Rhinolophus ferrumequinum: one gene and its partner. Each later gene encodes a partner of the first gene's protein in a complex. Links are inferred from orthologs where the notes say so. Each region holds a gene or a part of one and is shown in the gene's direction. Other genes may lie near its edges.

The links.
Region 2: the proteins of ZC3HAV1 (region 1) and KHNYN are in contact, whole or in part, in a crystal structure (PDB 9BGL), measured with the Homo sapiens proteins. The link is inferred for Rhinolophus ferrumequinum from reciprocal best matches to the Homo sapiens genes ZC3HAV1 and KHNYN. Residues at the interface, in NP_064504.2 of Homo sapiens: Glu5, Val6, Cys8, Phe9, Lys12, Ile13, Ala16, His17, Glu29, Ile30, Ala31, Leu32, Leu113, Glu115, Phe118, Ser127, Gly128, Leu129, Asn130, Glu133; in NP_001277186.1 of Homo sapiens: His651, Lys652, Asp654, Phe655, Gln658, Arg659, Pro661, Tyr662, Asn677, Phe678.

What each region holds. Positions count from the first base shown.
Region 1 is NC_046309.1:10,148,115-10,159,789, forward strand, and holds the start of ZC3HAV1 (zinc finger CCCH-type antiviral protein 1), read left to right. Parts: upstream 1-6,358; 5' UTR 6,359-7,545; coding exon 7,546-7,853; intron 7,854-11,675.
Region 2 is NC_046289.1:74,555,046-74,566,546, forward strand, and holds the start of KHNYN (protein KHNYN), read left to right. Parts: upstream 1-6,154; 5' UTR 6,155-6,380; intron 6,381-6,404; exon of another isoform or gene 6,405-6,583; intron 6,584-6,841; coding exon 6,842-6,884; intron 6,885-6,974; coding exon 6,975-7,195; intron 7,196-7,990; coding exon 7,991-9,102; intron 9,103-9,239; coding exon 9,240-9,370; intron 9,371-9,457; coding exon 9,458-9,554; intron 9,555-11,501. Other genes in the region: CBLN3 (cerebellin-3), read right to left, coding at 4,067-4,264, 4,591-4,710, 5,018-5,317.

The sequences.
Region 1 (11,675 bases):
ACCCAGGAGAGGCAAAGAGTTTTAAAAAGAGGATAGTTTATTGAAAGCAAAGGGTCAGAGCTCTTGCGTGGGAGGGGGTCCCGAAAGGGGGTGCCCCGTGACTGAGGCAAAAGCTCTTACTTTGTTACCTTCCCTTGCCTGCTTGGGGAAGGGAAACTGTCTGGAGAAGGGAACTGGCGCCTTCTAATGAAATTCGTCTACCAGGTTTGTTCTGCTTGCCCATCCTGAAGGAATTAGCAAAATAACCCACTCTTCTCTATCAGATCTGCTCCATTTGTCAGGCCAAAAGGAATTTTATGATTAACCGCAAGGCGTTGTTACATTTTGTCCTGGAGCGAAGGTGTTTTAGGATATGGCTGTCTTTGTTCATTCCACCAGGGACCTCCCTGTCTACCTAGGGATATGCTAGCTAACCTGTCTCAATAACTACTGGCTTCCCCAGAGAGAGTGAACAATATGGAAGTCAGCATGTTTTTTATGACCTCATCTTGAAACTCACACTGTTGCTTCTGTAATATCCTGTTGATTACACAGATCAGTTCTATGGAACGTGGCAGAAGACTACACAGTGGTGCAAATACCAGGAGGCAGGGGGCTCCCTCGGGGCTAGCCGACTACCAGCAAGCCATCTCATCCTCCCATTGCCCCACCTCTGGAGTACAACATGTTCATCGCCTGTGCTTTCATCCCGGCAGAAGGCTTGCAACCCGAAGTTCCTCATTTGAACAGCACCAAAGCAAAGTCTGTAAATTTACCTTCAAAGAGGGAAACGGCCCTTCTTACTCTAAAGTCAATCCCTCCACCACACCTACAGCTTCTTCCCTCCCAGTTCACGTGTTCCCAGGGAGCTTGCTGTTGGGCAGGTTCAATCTAGGGAAAACCCCTCTGCCGGCCCTTTACCTCCACCCTCCTCTGCCTGGCTGACTAATGCCTCCCTGGACTTCCATATCTCCTGGAGAACATCTGTTTACCGTGGACTTTGGACATGACATCTGACTCAACCCTCTGGTGTTTATGTGCTTTTCATTTCTCTGACTTAGCATAGCTGACTCACTGCTGCCTTGTGTATGTTTTGCTTCCCTTTTCAACTGGTGGTGGTTCAAGTAATCTCGTAGCCTCATATGCTAATATGCCCTAGAAACTGCAGCTTTGCACTCTCCCGAGATTTATGTCTTTGAAATGTTCACATATGCCCAGATCTTCCAGTAAAACATTAATACACAAGCAAGCAAACAAACAAAAAAAAACCCTCTCTCTGCCTGAATGATTCCTCTTCCTTTTTCTTCTCTCTTCTCCTTTCCTTGTCAATCTTCTAAAATGAGTGACTCATTTTGATTTTATACCTTACAATTCTGAACAAACCTGCTGTACCAAGGGAGCTGGAATATAAGACTGTCTACAGGAGAATTTATTGACATAGGAGTGCTCTCACAGGTTCTGAGCTTTAGCATCCTGTGAAGAACCAGAGGATGGCGCAAATCTGTTGCTGGGTGGCTCCTGGAAAATTGATGGCCTACAAAGAATGAGGTTGGAATGCCTAAATTTCTGGGGCAGACAGTAAAGAAAGGATAAAAGATTCAGCAAAGTGGATATGCTGGAAAGATACATGATGTTAAGGCCAGAAGGCTCACGAGAGCATTAGGCTCCACAGCTATTAGTGCCACTCTTAAATATAAAAATGATGAAGAAATGTTGTCCTGTATCTCTGTATAACTAGCCAGTGTTGACCTTGCAGCAACTGGATGGGTCCTAGAGAATCACTGCAGACTACTGCAAGAAGTGCAACCCCTCTACACCTGCTGTGCCTGCTGTAGTGGCTTGGCTAGCTTGGAGTTACGCAGCCTCAGCTACGTGGTTGGCAGCCGTCGATTTGGCGAATGCTTTCTTTTCTATCCCAATCAGGAAAGAGGATCAGAAATAGTTCATATTCACACAGAATGAGTACCAACAAGCATTTAGAGTTTTGCCACAGTTTTGTGTTCACTCTTCAGTCCTTTGTCCTGAAACAGTCCCAAGAGAACTGGAGACTTTGGACATCCCACATAACGTCACCTCGACCCATGACATTGGTGATACCATGCTGCTCAGGCAGGATGAGAAAAAGGCAGTGCACATGGTAGTGACTTCATATGACACGGGTCCCAGAGAGTGGGAGTTAAATCCTACAAAGATTCCGTGACCTGCCACTTCACTAAAGATGTGAGGGGCCTGATGGCCAGCAGCATGCTGGGACATTTCCTCCTCGGTAAAAGAGACATTGCTGCATCTCGATCCCTTACTAGGAAAAAGGAAGCACAAAGCCTGTTAGGAATCTTTGGGTTCTTGAGGAAACACATGCTACACCTACAAATACTATTGCTACCCACGTATTGGGTGACGTGGAAGGTGGCCAGCTTTGAGTGGGGCTTGGAGCAGGAAAGAAAGAGCTCTGCAGCAGGTCCAGACTGTGATACAAACAGCTCTTCTGCTTGGACTCTACCATCTGGCAGAGGCTAGAGTGTTGATAGTGTCAATGACGGGAAGACATGCAGTGCTGCCTTAATGGCATGTCCCAGCAGAAGAATCGGAATGCAGACCCCTGGGATCATAGAACAAGGTTATGCCAACTGCGGGGAAGAATTACACTCCTTTTGAAGCTCCTAGCTTGCTGCTGGGCACTGGTAGAGATAACAAATGACCGTGGGTTGGATTTGGCCCACACGAGCTACGTCCTATTTGACACGTCAGATCATAAAGCCCGGCAGGCCCAGCATCATCGCCATCATGAGGCGAAACAGGTACATCTGGGACTGAGCACCATCCGGACGGAGCACAGTACTCACTGAGGAGTAAGTAGCCTGGATCTTCGTGTCACTCATTACAGTTGCACTGGCACTCCTCCCCCAACTTAACACCGAGGGCCATACGAGGCGGTCCCACATAAATTGCTAAAAGAGGAAAGACAAGACCAAGCTCGAGTTCTGGATGGGTCGTCGTCTCACTATGTGCATGCAAGCGAGACACGGACGGCGGCTGTATTATAGTCTCACTCGCTTAGAACACAGTGGTGAGGGGAAATCGCCCCAGTGGGAGGGGCTTTGGGAGGTGCATCTGGGCGTCCACTCTGCCTGGAAGGAGAATGGCCCTCGGTTAGAACATATGTGAATCCGTGGCAGTGATGTGTGGCTTGGCTTGTGGGTAGGGGGCCTGAAAGGAACAGATATAACATCAGAGATAAGAAGGTGTGGGGCAGAGGAACATGGATGGACCTGTAGGAGTGCACTCAGAGTGGGAAGTTGTGTATATCACATGTTGAAGTCCACTAGTAAGTATCTATCACAGAAGATGTGCCAACTAGACAGAATAACTTATCCAGTTAATGGAGCCAGGCTTTGTCAGAACCCCCTCGCTCCCGACTGCTACATGGTGGGTACCTGAACAAGGAGGCTATGGTGGCAGAGATGGGGTTGATGTAAAAACCTAACAGCATGGACTGTCATTTACCAAAACGAATATAGCTACTGCCACCTCTGCATGTCCAACCTGCCAGCCATAAAGACCAATGCTCAGCTTTTATATTTGGTGAGGAGGCAAGAGGCTACTTGGTGACCAGGTGACTACATTGGGGCCCCCTTTTCCCTGGAAGGGCGGGCATTTTGCTCTCACAGGAATGGACGCTGATTCCAAATGTGGGGCTGCTTTCCTTGCCTGCAGTGCCTCAGTAGCACCACTCTCGGGGGGCTTAAAGATCATCTGATCCACGGACTTAGAATCCCATGTAACATAGCATCTGACCAGAGGACTCTGTCTATGGCACCGAGAGTGGGGGAGTGGGCCCATGAATATAGGATCTGCTGGTCATATCACACACCCTATCCCCAGAAGCTGCTGGATATATAAAGGTCCGTTACTGTTGCAGCTGAAGCTCCAGCATGGAGGTAATACATTGCAATGATGACATTTCCTCCAGGACTTCGTAGTATGTGACTTTCATCACACAACTTAGTATGGTGCTGTTTCCCTGATAGAAAGAGTGCGTGGGTCTGGAAACAAGGGGTGGAAGCATGAGTGACCCCCATTAGCTTCATGCCTGTGACCCATTTGCACTTCTCTGTCTCCACAACTCTGGGCTCGGCAGGGTTAGAGCTTTTGGTCCCCCAAAGGGGCACATTCTTGCCTGGAGTAAAACAGTAAAAATTCCACTGGATTACAAGTTATGGCTGTCACCAGGCTCTTTGGCCTCCTTGTGGTCAGAGACTAAGAGGTCAGACAAAGAACTGTTCAGTGGCAATTGAGCTACTCAGCAGAAGGAAGTAGGGCCACTATTAAGACAGCCGGAGGAATATGCGGGGACTTGGGTGACTAATAATTTGGGTGTCAGTTGGCACTCGGTGCTGTGATTGTGACTGAATGGACAAGACAAGAATGACAGCCCTAGTCTGAGAAGGTAGTCGGAGCACTTAGGAATGGGGATTTCAGGTGCCCACCCAAGTAACCTGAGGTGGTAATCGAGGGAGAGGGGAATTAGACTGCAGAGTGGTAGAGGTAGAGCATGAGGCCTGTGGTGGCTTTGCAGCTGGTTGCTGTGACAGGGGCTAGAGTTCATTCCATTGACTTCCCTCTGCTAAGTTTCCTTTCAGGAAGAGCGGGCCATCAGAGGCCTAAAGGAGCTGTTCCCTGAACACAGATGGAGAAATAGATACAGGTGCCGCAAAGGGTGGCCTATGGCAGATAGTGTGTCACTTAGATCCCCCTTACGTTAGGGCTTATTGCCCAACTCAGGGAGTGTGTTTAGGCCGTAGCCTCCAGCTTTAGCTCCTTCAGGATCTGCCCCAGTGCTTGAGCTAAAACATAGTACTTCTGTAGTGCCCCTCTCCCCCATGACCAAGCAAGGTGGTGGCCAGGCTGGCAGACTTGTGAGGTCTGCACGGCAATCTAAAAGCTCCCAGGGACCAATGTTGCTTCTTCCTTTGACTTTCTCTGATGTCACACCCTGGGAAACCTTTTGTATTCCGAGCTTTGAGCTTCATATCAGTGTCTGCTTCCTGGAGAAGTCCACCTGTGACAACACACATTTCAAAATTGCCCAAAATGCCTGCTTTTTCCCTTCTCACAATCCCTTAAATCATTTTTTCATGGCTTCAAATTGAGGGGAATTTTATATCTTTATTCCCAACCATTCTAGCCAAACTGTGCTCTTTCTTCTCAAATGTCTCATACACCGATTGCAGCATTTAACCTTTTGGAAAGCAAAATTCAACTGACTAAATTTGAAGACCTAATTGGCTTTATCAAGGGATTCAGAAATCGGACAGCATCTCCTCTAGCAAGTGGAAGGGTGTTCTGAAGGGTTGTACAAAATGGAAGGTTTTTATAGGCAGAAGGGTGTGGTAGGCATTATTAGCAAAAGAGAGAAAGGATTATTTTTAGACCAGGACATCATCTTTTTTGGGGGAAAGAAAAGGTAAGGATTTTATCATTCAGATCGCCTCTTCTTCCTTTTGGGGGCGCGGAGGGTGGAGAGGGCTCACTGACAGATTATCTTACTGGTTCTTGACTAGACTGATTGAGACTATTTCTGGGAGAGGGTAAAACTGCAGTTAAATCTATGTTTGCTCTCATGGGTTTTTAGCATAAGGGATGCATTTTGGGCCTGTGGTTTTCTTTTTAACAACTGATTCCCTTATGTTAGAATGCTTTTTCATGTCTTCCCAAACACAAACTCCTTGAGGGTAGGGACTATTTCTTAAACTTCTGCATGTTCAGAGTGACTAATGTAAGACCACACAGAAGATACCATGTTGAACTTAATTGATTTGATAATGCAAGCCCTGTGCTGGGAACCAGTCAGAACACAGATAAGGCCACGTGGATCAAGGCAACTATAGAAGTAATAGCTAGAGGGAACAGGAAGTCAGATGATCCTGAGTGAGCCCCAGGTTTGGCTGGTTTTCATACCAAAGTATTCTCTTCTTGAGAGACACAGTTCATCTACCGCGAATTACTAAACTGAGAATTTGCGTTGATCATTTTGAAGACTTTCTAATCGGACAACCGTATTCTACCATTTTTTAAAAAGGTTTATTTCTGATCTGATCAGTGACCCATTTATTTTACTTGGGAGTGCTGAGAGGAAAAACTGTTTCCTCTTCCAAGATGGGTCCAGGCTTGGGGGCCTGCAAATTAACTGACAATAGACAGATGAACAGGAGGAAAGACTAGATTTATTTATACCTTAGGAGGGCTGGGTAGCTCCCAGTAACGGAAAAACTCCTGGAACAGCCAAAAGTTTATATCTCAACTTAAGGGTTTTTTTTTTTTTGTTTGTTTTGTTTTTTTTTTTAAGGGCTTCAATGGGGAGGATATGGAAGGTTCTATTGGGTTTTTTGATGCTAATGACAATGGGCAGTCTGTCTTCACCGGGCAACGGAATTAGCAGGAAACTCCCTTGGAAGGTTAATGGTAGCTGTATTTTCTGGAGGCTTTGATTTAGTCAAGAGTAAGAGAATTTCAGATACAATTTCTTTAACATCTTCTGTAGCTCAAATGTTTTCACTGTAAGATAATCTGTATATAAACTCTGGGAGCCCAACTGGGTCCACACGGGGAAAAGGGCTTGTTTAAATGTCTAAAGAGAGAAGCGTAACTGAAAACTTGGGATAAGTCCAAACATGCACCTCTGACTGCTTGCTGTGGAGAATGAAGCGATGCCTGGGGCACCGAGGTTAGCGATTACAGGCAGGCAAGAAAGGTCAAGAAATGGTTCTTCAAAAAACTCGAGAGAAGGCAAATGAGAGAGGAATAATCGCTTTTTTTTAAGGTGGGCACGATGCCATGGGAGAACGTGCACATCGGCCCTAGCCAGGCGGTCCACGATCTGGGGTCTGGGAGCCAGATTTGGGGCACTTCAGTAGTGTCCGGGTTCCAGCATGATTGCTGTGCGTATTGCTCACGTTTGTTCCTCAAACACAAAGTGAGGACAACAATACCTAACTCGTGGAGTTGTTAAGAAGATTAATACCGGCGGCAGGGCGTCCAGCCCCGAGCAAGTGCTCACTAGATGTGTTCTTTCCCGGATGGGTGGGGTGGAGAGAAGACTCCTCAAGAGGGCTCCAAAACTCGCGTCATTCGCCACTTCGGCTGGCTTATAAAAGCGCCTCAGTATCATTTTTACTTTCTCTTCTTTCGGAAGAAGCCTCACCCTGCCCAGCTGGGGAACCTCACCCTCTCGGGGGCTAGAACTCAGCGGGAGCCGTACGGGTGGCCGCCACGGTCGCCAGCAGATCCGCCCGTGCGCTGTTCGCTTTCTTTCCATTCGGTTGCCGTCGCGGTTGACTTTACATCTGACGCAGGGATCGGGTTGGTGACCTCGGTCCTGGGGACCCAGAGCCGAGCGGGAAACCGAAACCTCTGGGCTCCGCTAACAGCGGGGAGCGCGCATTCGCGGGCCCGTGGCGCGCCCAACTCGAGCACCGCCCGCGCCCGCCCCCGCCCCCGGGGCTCTTGTAAGTTTCGATTCTCCCCGGAGCAGAGTCCCGCGCCTCGCGGCCTGGCCAGAGCAGAGCCATGGCGGACCCTGAGGTGTGCTGCTTCATCACCAAAATCCTGTGCGCCCACGGGGGCCGCATGGCCCTGGACGCGCTGCTCGACGAGATCGTGCTCTCCGAGGCGCAGCTCTGCGAGGTGCTGGAGGCGGCCGGGCCCAACCGCTTCGTGATATTGGAGACCGGCGGCGGGGCCGGGGTCACCCGGTCCGTGGTGGCCACTACCGGAGCCCGGGTCTGCCGTCGCAAGTTCTGCCAGAAAAGCTGCGGAAACCTGCACCTCTGCAAGCTCAACCTGCTGGGCCGATGCCACTATTCGCAGTCGGAGCGGTGAGTGCGCTGCGAAGGAGGGGCGGTTCCGCGGGGCCCGGGCTGCGAGGACTGTCGGGGCTGCTGTCCGCGAGGGGCGCGCCCTCGGGGTTCCTCCTACCCCACACCCTGTTCCTCCAGCCCCTCACTTCTCTGCTCCCTTCCTCTAGCGCCTCCAGACCTTTTCTCGAATATGGCTAACGCGATATGGCCCCGGCAAAGACTATGCTTAACTCCCCGCCCCCAGAAGAATAAAGTACTTTGGGGTCCGCCAGGGCTTAGAGAATTTGGAGGCAGGTTTGGGATCGAAGGAAAATGTCCCCACTCCCTGGACTCTTGGATCTTTCCCTGCTACCTCCATCCCTAGGCGCGTTGCTGTTTTCCCAGCACCCGGCGCCGCGCTCCGCACTCGGTTGCGTCTCCACCGCCGCCGGCCGCGGGTCTCTGCTTGGCCCTCCATGCCTAGCTGCCTGCATTCCCCTCATCGTCGCTTTTCTGATATCGGACGTTCGTCCACACCACCTGACTAGAACGGTCCTATTCAAGGATCCCAATGATGTGTTCTTTCCCCGTAGTCTCACCGCGGTGGCTGGAACCGCTGACCTCCCGCTCTTGTGGACACTTTGAAATAGAGCGCCTTACCTGTCAGGCAGCTCTTGCTGTGTTTCCACTTGTTCTTTTTTTTTTTTTTTTTGCCTCTAAATATAGGTGTGCCCCAAGGTTTGGGTTAAGCCTTCTGACCTATCAAGTCTCCCTGAGAGAGCTCACTCTTGGGGTCAGCTGTCACATCTACAAAGATGGCTCCCGTGTGTACCGCCCCGCTGCCCAGACTTTCCAACCGAATCTAGGTTCTCCTAGTGTCTGAGGAGCATCTCTACCTGAATATCCTGCTAATAAAAGAGTCAAACTCATCTTCCTCCCCCCTGGGCACTTTCCCCCAGGGTCTCTGACACTCAACTTCTTCCCAGGGCAGGGTCTCTGACACTCAACTTCTTCCCAGGGCAGGGTCTCTGACACTCAACTTCTTCCCAGGGCAGGGTCTCTGACACTCCCCCCAAACCCTTCTTCATCCTTCACAATACCTTAATCACCAAGTCCTTTTGTTGAAGTCTCCTATCCCCTTCCTGCGGGTCCTCCTTCCTGTCTCACTTCTGAATGAATGCCTTGTTGAATTAGTGAATTGTTCTCTCCTACCATAACCTTCTCTCCACCTTTTCCATCCCTGTGTACTTCTGCTCAGTTATTTTTCTTGATATAGTACTTTACACAGTTGGCTCTCCTTAAAAAATTTAAGCGATGTCCTAGTGTCCAAAATGGTGGTTCTAACTTTTGATCATGCCCTTGTTATCGAAAGACTTTAGATTACTCATCCCAAATATATGTAATAAAACATACAAAAGACATGTTTTCAATGCGCGAGGTGGATGAGAGAGTATTTTTAAAAAATGTATTTGTTCAGGGCAAAACTGAACTTTTTTTTAAAAAGTTCTTGAATATGCAGCGTTAATAATATTTATTGAATATGTTGTGAGGCATCAGTTTCAAAATCTGTTTCTGGGTTTGGGGAAGTTATGTGTATAGAGGAAAACATCTAAGGCACAGGGGAAATCAGGAAGGAAGGAGGGAAGAGAGGAGGGAGGAGAGAAAGAAGAGGAAGGAACATTCTAGCACTATCCTGAATAACAGAGTTGGAGGGCTTTGTTTTTTTTTTGTTCTGTTGTGAACATTTTTTCACCAACTAGTGTTGACTTTTAAACTAAGTTTTAAATACATATGCTTCTTATCTTTTAATTTTTTACTATGGATATTTTCATATCTATATATGAAAATGTATACAAAATTTCCCTTCACCAGTTTTCAAAATATGGACAGTCTTATTTCATTTATTCCCCCATCCCTATCCCCAACTCTAATGTGTTATTTTAAACCAAAAGGCGATCATTTGCTTCATAAATAACTTTATTGCCGAAGGATAAGGACTCTTAATAACATAACCACAGTGATCACGTTGTTTTACAGTTACAATTTTAATATCATCTAATATCAAGTTGGTGTTCAAATTTCCCTGATTGTCTTATAATCTGACTTTCATTTTCAGGAAAAAATGTCTACACAGACATAATCGATAATTGTTTCAATATGTCACATATCCAGTATATTTAGAAATTTTGTTTCAGTTTCTTGCAGTATGTTTAGAAACTAGTTTTTTGTTTTAAGAATTTTATTATTATTTTTTTGGCCTGGTTTGAAACATCAAAGCCATTTTAAGCTCATAAATTGGGTTGTTAACTTGAACTTTTCTATATTTTAAAAGTATATATAGGGCCGGCCCGGTGGCTCAGGCGGTTAGAGCTCCATGCTCCTAACTCCCAAGGCTGCCGGTTCAATTCCCATATGGGCCAGTGAGCTCTCAACCACAAGGTTGCCAGTTCAATTCCTCCAGACCCACAGGGATGGTGGGCTGCGCCCCCTGCAACTAGCAACAGCAACTGGACCTGGAGCTGAGCTGCGCCCTCCACAACTAAGATTGAAATGACAACCACTTGACTTGGAAAAAAGTCCTGGAAGTACACACTGTTCCCCAATAAAGTCCTGTTCCCCTTCCCCAATTAAAAAAAAAAAAAGTATATATAAAATATAGGCATAATTTGGTCAATGCATGTTTGGATGAATCCTTCAGGTAATTCATTAGCCTTTTTTTTAGTGAAGTGATAAATTCGTATTTCTTACATTTATTGGTCTTGTCATGTTTTTCATTAACTTTTATTTCCTTTATATCACTTTTGAATTTGAGAATTACAAATTTTTAATCCATTAATGTACATTTTGTCCTCATAATAAGGACCCTTAGAAGAATTTTTTTTTCTTGCCTTAAAACCTAGAAAAGTATGTGTTTTAAAAATATTCCCCTTTCTTAGCAACTTACAAAACTTGATCTTCTAAAACTTGAAGTGTGGGAGTCGCAGGATTTTCTTTGTGGCTTACAGCTTAATGGGATCTGTTGATCAATTGGTAACCATGTTGAAATTACCATTCCGTTTGGTAAACTGTTCTCTGTTTGCTGGACTTATAAAATTTCCTCTATAGTGTTGTTATTCATAAATGGGATTTCTCCTATCCTGTAGTTTGCATCTTTTCTCTTACATTGCTTTAAGCTATACTTTTTAGTCAACAACAGGGCTGACTTTCTTCAGTGTTGGATAATTACTTGTTTTGGTGCATCTGTTTGGATATTTGTATTTGCTTTGCTAAAATACATGCCTACGCGTGACATTCTAATCCCAGTTCAGATACAAACAATAAACACCATTTATTGAACAAATAAGTCTGTACCAAGCACTCTGATAAGCACTTCAGAGATGGTATCCAAGTCAGTCTTTACCCTGATTCTTGAGGTAGGTATTATAAATCCCATTTCAACGTAAGGAAATAGGCCTAGAGCTGTTTAGAAGAAATTGACCGAAGGTCACATAGCAGATAGCTGGCAGAGTTAGGGTTGAACCCAGATCTACATGACTTGTTAACCAGCTAGTCATGTTGTCAAATAGCTGTGTGCAGTGTGATCTTTCACTAATTCAAGTTATTTTTTGTAAGCATGATTACTGTTTAAAGCAGGTTTTCTGAGTGTCTTCAACTAAGCTTTGTGGTTTTTCTGCTAATATGCCTGTTTCCTCTGGGCTCTTTCCTGTTTGTATGCCTTTCTCTCCCTGCGGTTGATTGAAACTTTGCATGGGGGGTGGGTAGATGAAAAGAGAATTAGTTGACTATTTCTTAAATTGAAGAAAAAAACAACCCAAAAGTGCAAAGAATATACAGGCATCAAAGTATATATATCCTTAAAAA
Region 2 (11,501 bases), on another chromosome or scaffold:
CGTCCTCTTCTTCCTTATTACAATACTCCTGACTTTTAGCTGGGCCTGGCTGCCTGGAATAAAAACTCTATTTCCTACTGTTTCTCTCTGGCCTGGTGTGGCCATGCGTGACTAAATTCCAGCCAGTGAGATGCAGTCAGAAATGTTAGGTGTGCCTTTCAGAAAGACTCTTTAAAGGAAAGTGGTGTGCCCTTTCTTCCTTACTCCTTCTTTCCTGGGGGCTGTAAGGCGATATAGTGGTTAAGCTCAAGGAGCCATCTTGTCAGGAGGTGATACTCGTATAGTGCAGATGGTAGAGCAGCAAGAAGGGAAACCGGGCTGTGATGATCTCAAAATTGCTGCAATATTGTGATTTATAAGAAATATATATTTGGTCATTCAGCAATATATATTTGGTCATTCAGAGGACCATTTCTCATATATATTTGGTCTTCTTCCACACAATTCTTGGTTCATAGCTCCTGAAAACCTTAGAGTTTCCTAAGTGTTAAGAATGAAAAAGGTACCTTTTGTTATTTAGGGAGGTGATTTTTGGAAAGCACGTCAGGATGGGGGCTGGTTACCAATGGAGCCAACCATATGATTAGAAGGTTGGAACTTTCATTCCCACTGCCCCCCTCCTCCATTTCTGGGAAGGGGAGTGGGACTACTGAAGGTTGACTCAATTGCCTATGGCCAGTGATTGAATTAATCACGCCTATGAAATGAAGCCTTCGTAAAAATTCAAAAGGACAGGGTTTAGAAAGCTTCCAGGTTGGTGAACACTTGCAAGAGTGGATCCTAAAGAGAGCATGGAAGCTCCAAGCCCTTTCCCCATGACGGCTATATGTATTTCTTCCATCTGGCTGTTCCTGAATCATATCCTTTTGTAATAAACCAGTGGTCTAGTAACATGTTTCTCTGAGTTCTGTGAGACTCTCTAGCAAATTAATTGAACCCAAGGGGGGGTCACTGGTGACAAGAGAAAAAATTCTGAGATGTTCTAAATGAACACTACAGCAACCAGAGAGTGAGAGAAAGAGACAGAACACTTAGCCTGTTGATAGTAGTGGACCAGCTATGACCAAAGACTGCTCACATTCCTGTGTATTTGTTGGAATTTAGGATTAATTTCCAGCTGACTATTTCTGTGATTATTCAAAAGAGAGAATAGCTGGGTGCTGTGGAACCCCACGAGTCTCCGTTTCTTATTTGTACATGAGCCTTATGGACTCTGCTGTGCCCATATCAGCACTAGCCCTGCTTCACCTTCACCCAGCACCTTTATCTATAGCGAATGCAAATCCTTACAGAATGACTTACACCTATCTGCCCCTTCCTTGATATATACACATACTTGCAAAACTGCTGGACATTGGACATGTTATCTTTTCTACGTAGCCATAATGCTGATGGTTTAGATTCCATGCCCCAAGACATGTCTTCTTTTTTTGCTAGCAATGGCCTAATAAACCCTTTCTTTCGAAAACACTGTCAGTCATGTAAGTTAAAATATTTTTGTTTAACACTGGAATCTAGCCAGTTGATCAGAAGCACAACCTGGATTTTAGACTGGTGTCTAGATTGAGTTGCCAAGGAGGGGGTCATTGGGCCCTCCAGTCTATGAATGGCTGGTCAGAGCGCAATTAACAGCCTGTGCTTCTGGCTGGGGTCTAAAGTAAGGGGTGGAGTTTGGGGGCAGTCTTGTGGGACTGACCCCTTAACCTGTGGAATCTGATGCAGTATCCAGGTAGATAATGTCTGAATTGTGTTGAATTAAGTGGAATTCACTGGTCTCCGAGAATTGCTTGGTGTTGTATGGGAAGCGACCTTTCCTTCCCCCCACACATTGGAATTGGGTCTAGGAACCCAAAAGAACTGCCATCCATCTCTGGACCCTTTATCTGCAGATTCTTCTGTGTGAGACAGAAATAATCTATCTTGCTTAAGGCATTATTATTTTGGGTTATACTGCCTTTCCTATAATCTCATTACAATTAGTAGAATAATATAGAGGCTCCCTTTCCCTAGAGAGGAAGGATGAAGTTTGAGCAGTGAGCAGTTATCTTCAGGACATTTGACTAATTCATCATCTTGTAACACACTGTTGGATTTTCTTTCTTCTTAGTTGTAATATATGACCAGATGGTGCCAATCAGTCTCTTTCATTCTTGGTACAGTTCCAACCTTTTCTGGAATTACTCACAGCTTTCCATATCCACCCCTCCCTACTTACTCATATACAGATAAAGAAAAGTAAATGTACCTTATGAAAAGTTAAAATACCTACTATATTTACACTCTTCTACTCATCAAAATTAGCTAAAAATATCCTATTATATTTAATCTTCTTCACTCAGTAGGTTAATTATCTTTTTGCACAGTTTATAGTGACTTTTTTCCTTTTGGAGTATCATTAGTCATAATTTTTACAAATTCACCTTGTTCCAATTAACTATATTATTTTCCTTTTGATTACCAAATTGTCACAGAATGTCAGGTGGAAATATTTTAAAATTGGTTCCTTTGCCTTTTCAGCTCCACCCTATACATTTGAAAAAGTACCCTTGCTTTTTGTCATCAATATGTTCCAGGCCTAGAGTTATTTAAGATATGGAGCGATTTTCCAAGGAACCGTGAGTCCTTTTAAAGTGAATAATATTTGAGGCAAAGATCCAGGTGCTAAGAATGTATATTAGATTTTTTCCTAATGTTGTTTCTATGCTACATTTTAGCGAGAAAGTTATTTCTTTTTGAAAACCACAAATTCACATTGGTATTTCCTATTTAATTCAAACATTAGTAAATCCTTTTTTATTTGACTCTAACATAGTTTTACATTTATTTTCTCTACAACATACCAGCTTATATCCTGTAACCTGATTCGAATTGTAATGGCATCTTTTATCTTTAGTGATCCTAGAGTGTCTCATCACCCATCATTCTCTAGTTACTTTATTGATAGAGTCATCCATGCTAGGCCAATGGGACAGCAAGGTAAGAGAGTTTATAAAACTGGCAGGAGAGTGGGTGAAGGGATGGATCATGGAATCCAAGGTAATAGGAAGTTTAAGAAGGAGGATAACATAGGACAGATCAGAAGAAAGAAGAGAGGTTATGGGATAGTCTGGAACAGGTACAGTGAAGATTAACTGAGAGAGTTGGGAGGAAGGACGTGGTGGTCAGGATGTGAAGTGATTGAAGTTCAGACTACAAAGGTGGAGTTTCGGGAGTTGGCTATGGTCATTGATATGTGCCATGCCTGGAGATCTACACTTGCCCACACATGACCTTTTACCCTCATCTGCAGCTGCCCGAGGGAGCACTGTACACACTCACTGTCAGCCAGAGCAAACACATACACAACCCATGTCTCGGCGGGGGGGACGTGAGGGCCAGAGTCCATTTGGGAACTGGTACAGATGAACACCCAGGTTCACTGCCTGCTGGCTGCCCCAGTGTACATAAAAAATGTGTACCTTGTTCAGGCTAGGCACATGTTTCTTCCTGCCCTACCAGCCCTAGGCTTTGGGCTGCTCTGCGGCCCTCCCCACACTTCTGTTGGTGGCTGAGCCTCCATATGGTGCTGGCTCAGTTCCTGACTATGCTGGCAGAGCTCCGTGATGCTGGCACTCCTCACAGGAAGGAGCCTGCTGGGTATGCCGAGGCTGGTCCATCTGGGCCTCTGTGGGGGCCTGTTAGGCTCACCTGTGCCACATGCCCCCAAGTAGCTCTGAGCAAGAAGCTGGGGGAGGGGTGGGGCCAGGGGAGCAGAGTCTGCAAAGTAGCTCAGGCCTTTCTATCTGCCAAACCTTGCTCTGATCCTAGGACTGTAGACACAAAGAGATGCCGTGGCAGGCTATGAGGGCGTATGTGTGTGTGTGTGTGTGTGTGTGTGTGTGTATGTAAGAGGTCCCAAGACACCATAGCTCTACTCATCACCTTGGGTGTTTGGCACAGGGTCCCATGCAAGGAGGTGGAATACAGGCAGCCAGAGGGAGCCTCTCTCCTGTCCCAAAGATGCTTCTTCTGGGGCAGGAGAGGGAAGAGGACCGAGGTCAGGGGCTAGATTCTTGTCCTGGAGCCCTCAGAGTGGGAAGATGAGGAAGCCAGAGAAGCTTGAATATTTCCAGCCACCCAGCAGGTTCCCCCGACGTAGGCGCAGGGATACCCGGTCCCCAGGGTCCAGGGGCAGTAGTACAGAGCTGGTGGCTGCCTCCCGGGTCACATCAGGGTCGTTGGCAAAGGCTGAGATGACAGGCCATGTGTTCAGCATCAGGCTCACCTGGGGAGGGAGCCCAGTTAGCATTTCTCCCCAACCCTTGTCCTAGAACCCCATTTTTCTGAGGGCTTCCCCTCTTTGCCCCAGCCCCAGAGGAATACTCTGGAACCTGGGGCTCAGTGCTCTCTCCTGGGAGGGCTGAGGGGTGGTCAGTGTTGGACTCTGCAGGTCCTCCACTCTCTGCTATGTAAGCCCTTTCCGCCCTTGCTCCTGGTCCCCCAGGACACAGGTCAATGGAGGGTCTGTCCAGGAGTCTGCTGGGCTCTGGTTATTCCTCACCCCTCCCAAGCCAGGACAGGGTCAAGGACAGGGCCCAGCACTCAGGTCACCTGGACAGTTTGGCGGTTGTACACCTTCACCACGTGGAACCGGAAGCTGTAGACACCCCGGACAGGGGCTACGAAGGAGCCTGAGGCCCGATCAAAGCCACCGCCCTCATTCACCAAGACCTAGGGGAAGGAGACACTGCTGAGTGGGCTAGGGTCACCTGGGGCTCAGGAAAACCACTGGGTTGAGGGACAGGGCGGTGAGTAACGAAAAGAAGGGATGGCAAGTAGCTGCCAAAAGGAGGAATGCATGATTCAAAAAAACCCACAAAATTGGTGAGAAAGGGCAAGGAGGGGTATGGGTAGGAGTGAAGGGGAAGAAGATGGGCAGTGGGGTTGCGGGGCAACTGGCCACAGCAGGAGGCTGTTTCCTTAACAGCAGAGTGGGCTTGGACAGTTGATTCTAGGTCTGGGCAGGGTAAGGGGTTACCTGGTCAAAGTAGATGGCCCCACTGGTGCCATTGATGATCTCCCCTGCTGGCTCGTGGTGGTGGCTTCTTATTGCAGCAAATGCCACTCTTCCAGGGGGCGCTTCTCCCAGAGCAGCTCCTCCAGGGCCCCCTGCAGCAGCTCTGCCGGGCTCACAGACCACCAGGCACTCGCCCTCTAGGAGGACAGGCTCTGCCCCCTCCTGGGCCCATCCAGTCCCCAGGGCCAGAAGCATCAGGGCCAAGGGCAGCCCAGGGGTGGGTGTGAGACCTTGTAGCCAATGTTGCGTTGCTACCAGCATGGCTGAGTGGCTCTGTGACCAGCAAGACTTCCTGTCTTCTGCCTCCTTTTCTGCTCCTTTCACTTTCCACTCTCCCCCAGACTCTCAACACCCCTCACTCTGCTCCTCAGCCTTCTCTCTGGGTCTGTCACCTGGTCTCAGAATCTCCCTCTCCATACCTCTCTGTGCCCCACAACTCTGTCATGCCTCTCCTGCTGTCACTGCTGTTCCCTCCTCCTTGGCAGGGCACAAAATGACAGCAGTTGGGCTCTGGGAGGGAAAGGAGGGATGAAGCAGTCAGACAGGAGGGCTGCAGCCAGAACCCCAGGGCAGCTTCTCCAGAGAGCATTGAAGGCTGGAACTGGAACCACAGAGAACGTGGATGTGTGTGTGTGAGAGTGTGCGGATGTGCAAGAGACAGCTCCGACAGCCCCTTCCTCCACCTCATTCCTCCCCTCTTCAAAATCCCTCACAGGTCCACAGCACTCAGTGGCATCTTTTCCATCGCTAGAAAGGAGTGCCCTTGTATTTTCCCCCACAACTGTTTTGGTGGAAAGTGCTTGGGCCAACGGTGTCACTGTCTTGTGACGCTGGGCCAGTCTCTTTCCCTCTTTGGGCTTCCATAACTTCATCCGAAGGGACTGCATTAGTCCCTTTAAGGCTGTCTTCACCTCCGACTCTCAGAGTGATTCCTCTTTCCTGAGAATTGCGGAGAACCAGCGGGAACCCAGAGGAACCGGGAGAAGACGTAGGGGACCCAGAGAACTGAGGGCGAGTGGGCGGGGCCGACGCCCGGAGCTCGGAGGAGCCCGGAGGGGCGGGGCGGGGGTGGGCGCGCGCGGGGCCCCGGTGCAGGCCCAGTCCCGGGAGGGGCCCGGCTGACTCCGCCCCGGGCCAGGAAGTGACTCAAAAAACAGTTCGAGATGTGGAGAAGAGAGGTCCCCGTTGGGTGAGAAATCCGGGAAGGCCCGCCCAGATTCGAGCCCCCCGCCTTTCTCCCCTGGGCCGGGGGCGCGGGCGAAGCTGGGGCCGGCGGGCACCTAGAGGCACCGGCAGGAGAGGCCACAACGGGCGGCCGAGGCGGGTATGCGCGCCCGGGCCGCGGGAGCCGAAGGCCGCAGTGCTGAGCGCCGCCGGGGGCGGGGCTCGGTTCGACCCCTAGGCCCTGGGTGGGGCGCTTGGCGCGACCGTGGGGACGGCAGCAGAGGGAGGGGGAGGGGTGAGAGCGGCTAGAACCTTGGAAATGGCAGGCGAGGGATCCCAGAGGACAGCCCAGTTCAAACCCTGGTGAGGATCCATCTTTAAGAGCCCGTCTTGGACCCGGTGATTGCAGAATCCCCCGAGAAGAGGGATCTTTCGTCATCCTTCCACTTCTAATGGCCCCAGAGCGAGCTGGAGCCCCCCACCCCGCTTCCTGCTCAGGGCTGTAGTCATCCTTTTCCAAAGGCCAGACGCCCATCCCAGAGAGAGTCTTGTTTATCTACGACTTCCTCTTCAGGGAAGGCCTGTGTCCCTTTAATCTGACATTCTCTTCCTACCCCGAAGATGGCCCCAAATCTCCTGGGGTGTTTACCAGATCGGCAACTAGGTGAGACCTGTTGATAGCTGGTGTTGGCCTGGAGACCAAGGTTTGGGTTGAGGGGTCGGCGAGGCTCTGAGCTGCCTTTCCTAATTCCAGGGCTGGGTGGCCAAGCAGCCATGCCTACCTGGGGGGCTGGCTCCGCGTCCCCTGACCGTTTTGCCGTGTCTGCGGAGGCCGAGGACAAGGTGCAGCGGCAGCAACCCCACGTGGAGCGCATCTTCCGCGTAGGGATGAGCGTCCTCCCGAAGGACTGCCCGGAGAACCCTCACATCTGGCTGCAGCTGGAGGGCCCCAAGGAGAATGCCAGCAGAGCCAAGGTGAAAGCCCCTCCCTGACCCTTCCGGGAACAATGCCTCCTCCACTCAGAGGCTGGGGAGAGGAGGGCCTGGGGAGGATCTCCACTCCTTGCTTGTCTTACTGGCAACCTCAGTCAGTAGTCCTGAGCTTTGAGAGACTTTCCAACTTTGTATTTGGAGTTTTGGTTTTATTTCTGCTGTGATGACCCAGCTTCTGCCAGGACTTGAACAGACAAGTGATTCAATTCAAATCAGTTTGTGCTCTTTGGGAAAGCAGAGACAATCCGGCTGGGCAAGAAGGCCCCACCAAGGAATTCGTTGTAGGGTGGGAGGCCAGGCCTGGGTTCCAGTATAGCCCTACCACCTACCAGCCCTGTGACCTGAGTCTCAATTTTCTTACCTATAAAATGTGAATAATAGTGTCTACCTCATTAGGCTTATGAGGTAAAGCATGAATGAGATAAAGCATGAGTTCAGTAAAAGTTAGCAATGGTGATCATTATGATGGAAATATATAACACACATACACATGTAAATATTTAGAGAGACAGTCTTGTAACCAATTAATTATAATTGTATCTTAAAGTGAGTCGAGTTCTACATGGAAATACTAGCCACAGGCTGTCAGCTGGAAAGAGAAAAAAGTGAGATTCTTGATCCCTTTTTAACCCCCACCTTTGTCAGGATCTGTGGGGCTCCATTGCTCTGCCCAGGCATCCTGGAGCTCAGGGGAGAGCAATGAGCCTGCAGGGGCTACTGGGCCACTTAAGATTCCAGCAGTCTCTTTTTTTCCTACCTTCCCCTCTTTCCCTCCAGGAGTACCTGAAGGGTCTCTGTAGCCCGGAGCTACAGGATGAAATCCACTACCCACCCAAACTACACTGCATCTTTTTGGGGGCCCAGGGCTTCTTCCTTGATTGCCTGGTCTGGAGCACGTCAGCCCACCTGGTACCTAGGGAACCCGGCTCGCTCATGGTCAGTGGCCTGACCGAGGCATTCGTCATGGCTCAGAGCCGAGTGGAGGAGCTGGTGAAGCAGCTGACCTGGGACTTTCGGCCAGGGCCATCCCCTGGAGCCTCTCAGTGTGCTGGAGTGCTGAGAGACTTCTGTGCCCTGTTGCAGCCCCGGGAGGATGCCCACAGAGAAGCCCTGCTGCAGCTGCCCCTGGCTATCCAGGAGGAACTGCTGAGCCTCGTGCAGGAGGCATCCAGGGGGCAGGGGCCCCAAGCACTTCCCTCTTGGGAGGGGGGGAGCCCAGGTCTGCTGGGTGCTCAGTACCAGGGAGTTGGAGCTCCCCTGAGTGAAGGCAGGGAGTCCCTGGACACTGGACCTATGGGGTGGCAAGAGTCAAGGGCAGAGAGATATGCTGTGGAGAAGGAGGGAGGGAAGCAGGGTGGTCCCAGGGAGATGGATTTGGGGTGGAAGGAGCTGCCTGGGGAAGAGGCCTGGGAAAGAGAAGTGGCCTTTAGGTCACAGTCAGGGGGAGGAGAGGCAAGGCAGGCAGGCCTCCTGAAGGGGAAAACCTTGGGAAAGGAGGGAGTGCCTCAGGAAAGTGGACGATTCTGTGTCCAGGGTGAGTCTTCTGGTGCCCAGGGCCCCTGTCAGAGGGCAGCACAGCCCCGGGGAGCCTCTCTCCTCCAGCGGCTCCATAATGGGGAGGCCTCACCTCCTAGAGTGCCTAGCCCCCCACCTGCACCTGAACCCCCGTGGCACTGTGGAGACCGAGGAGACAGGGCAGACAAGCAGCAGGTTGTGGCTCGAGGTCGGGGGTCTCCGTGGAAACGAGGCACCCGGGGGGGCAACTTGGTGACTGGCACTCAGCGTTTCCAGGAGGCCCTGCAGGATCCTTTCACCCTGTGCCTTGCCAATGTACCTGGCCAGCCAGATCTCCGCCATATTGTCATTGATGGCAGCAACGTAGCCATGGTGTGAGTACCCAGTGGGGAAGGGGGAGACGGGCAGTTTTATTCACGTTGGGGCCATGTGCTGAGGGGCGAGCACTGCATCTAGGCTGCCAGGCTCTCCTGCTCTGGGGCCCCAGCGTGCCGACCCCTTCCCACTGCAGGCACGGCCTCCAGCATTACTTCTCCAGCCGGGGCATCGCCATTGCTGTGCAGTACTTCTGGGACCGTGGCCACCGGGACATAACCGTCTTTGTGCCTCAGTGGCGCTTCAGTAAGGATGCCAAGGTCAGAGGTGAGTTTGTGCCCGGTCTTTTGTGTCCTGGGCTAGGCCCTGCTTCCACCGTGAGGATAACTGCATTGTGCCCCTCTGTTTCTCTAGAGGGTCACTTCCTGCAGAAGCTCTACTCCCTCAGCCTGCTCTCCCTCACTCCTTCCAGAGTCATGGATGGCAAGAGGATCTCCTCCTATGATGACAGGTACTTATTTCTCTCCTGGTCCCAGGCTTGATATTCAAGGAGCCCAGTGGGAGATTGAGGGAGAGACAGAAACTCATGACCCTTTGCACTGTCTGTCAGCCTGGGTAGCCGGGCAAAGGGCCAGTTATTCTCTGTGTGCCCATGACTGGTTAGGTAAACCTGCTCCACAGGTGAGATAAGATGGCTGGTGCACAAATGTGTTTGCCCATTCATCATTCATCTTTTATTTATCAAACTAAATGATGCTTTGTATGTATATAGTACCTTACTGTCTAGAAAATACTGGTTTAATGGAAAGGTGGGAAAGCTGATGACATGACTAGCTGACAAATGCCTTCTTACCACCCAGATTTCCAAACACGTAGAGAAATGTTCCAACATCTTGGGAAAACCAGAGTAAATGTTCAAAATAAATCAAATGAAGAAACACAATCCATGCATAGTAACATAAATCAACATATAAATAAAACAAATAAATAAAACATGGTATAATAGAGAGATCACTGGATTTAGAATTTGAAGATCTGAATTGGAGCTCCAAGTTGCATTACTCATTGACTCTGACGATGGACCAGTCTCTTAGTGAATTAACCTCTTGTCTCAGGACCCTCTACCATTTATTCATGTTCCTTGTGAATATGAAAAGACGGTAAGGTATGTGCTTGCCTCATTCAAGGTGCTAGGCAAGAGTACGGTGATATTCCTTAACTATTCATGGACCCAATCAAGTGTGGCAGAGGGTCTTATCTCTATGGTACAGAAATGGACCAGAGGGTAGGAGTGGTTAATTCTCTTGGCAAAGGCTACCAAGTGACGAAAATGAGAACTTAAAGCTGCGAGATAGTTTAAATGAAAAAACACAGGGCACATCCCCTCAGGGTACACACACGGTGTGAGAAATGGGCAGATTTTAAAAGCTAAGCAATTAAAAAGTTTTACAACTACAAGTTCTTTATTCTCTAGGATTTTCAGTTTTAAATAAAAAACTAGTTTCCAAACCATACCGATGATACATTTTGTCTTTTCAAATAGTTAACTTTTTCTCCCTAACAAGCAAATGGTATTCTGCAAAAAGGTAGTTCACTTTCTCCCGATGCTATTGTTTTATGTCTGGATTTCACAGATCATCCAAGATATGGAACATTCTTTCCACACCAGCATTGACACAGCACTGAAACGGAAGACCGAGTCAGTAGTAATGAGTTTTGAAGGCACATGTCTGAGTAGTTGTATAGGTGTTGGTAGGAAGACAGCACAATACGAGTTTGGAATTATGCCTAGTTACAGTGACAAATACGCGGTGCACAGCGTAGGCCTGCTGAATGAATGCTGCTGAACCACGTATGATGTGTCACGATAATGGTCACATGTGCTTAACCTGATAATACCTTTTCTATATCAGAGGATATCATATGCAATTGTATGTCATCTCCTTAATTTGTTTCCCAGACAGAAACTGAACCAGACATCTGTCACACCCAGTCCTGATTACTAGTCCCCTCTGTACCACACTGCCTTTCACACACTGACTGCCCACTTAGTGCTCGGTGGGTGGCCTGCAGAAGGAGGCGGGAATGCTGGGAATTTGACTTGAAAGAGCCAAAAGAAACTATAAATCAAAAACTACAGGAACTTGGAGGAAAGGGAGCCCCCTTCCGGCTGGGATTTTGTGGGGAGGGAGGGATTTGTGAGTTTTGTTGAGACAGGGACATGGGATGGGCTGGATCTTATGGTTTCTAAACCTGTTAAAAAAGATCCCCACATACCTCTTTATGAGTCCTACCCCAGTTTTAATGGAATCAGGATGACTCAAGTTGGGCCTAGGCATCTCTTTTTTCAATCTCCTCTGGTGATTCTGTTCATTAGTGAGATTTGGGAAGCACCTTCCAGATGGAGGGAATAATTTGAGAAACATGGAAGAGAGCACAGGGCACGTTTGGGGAACAA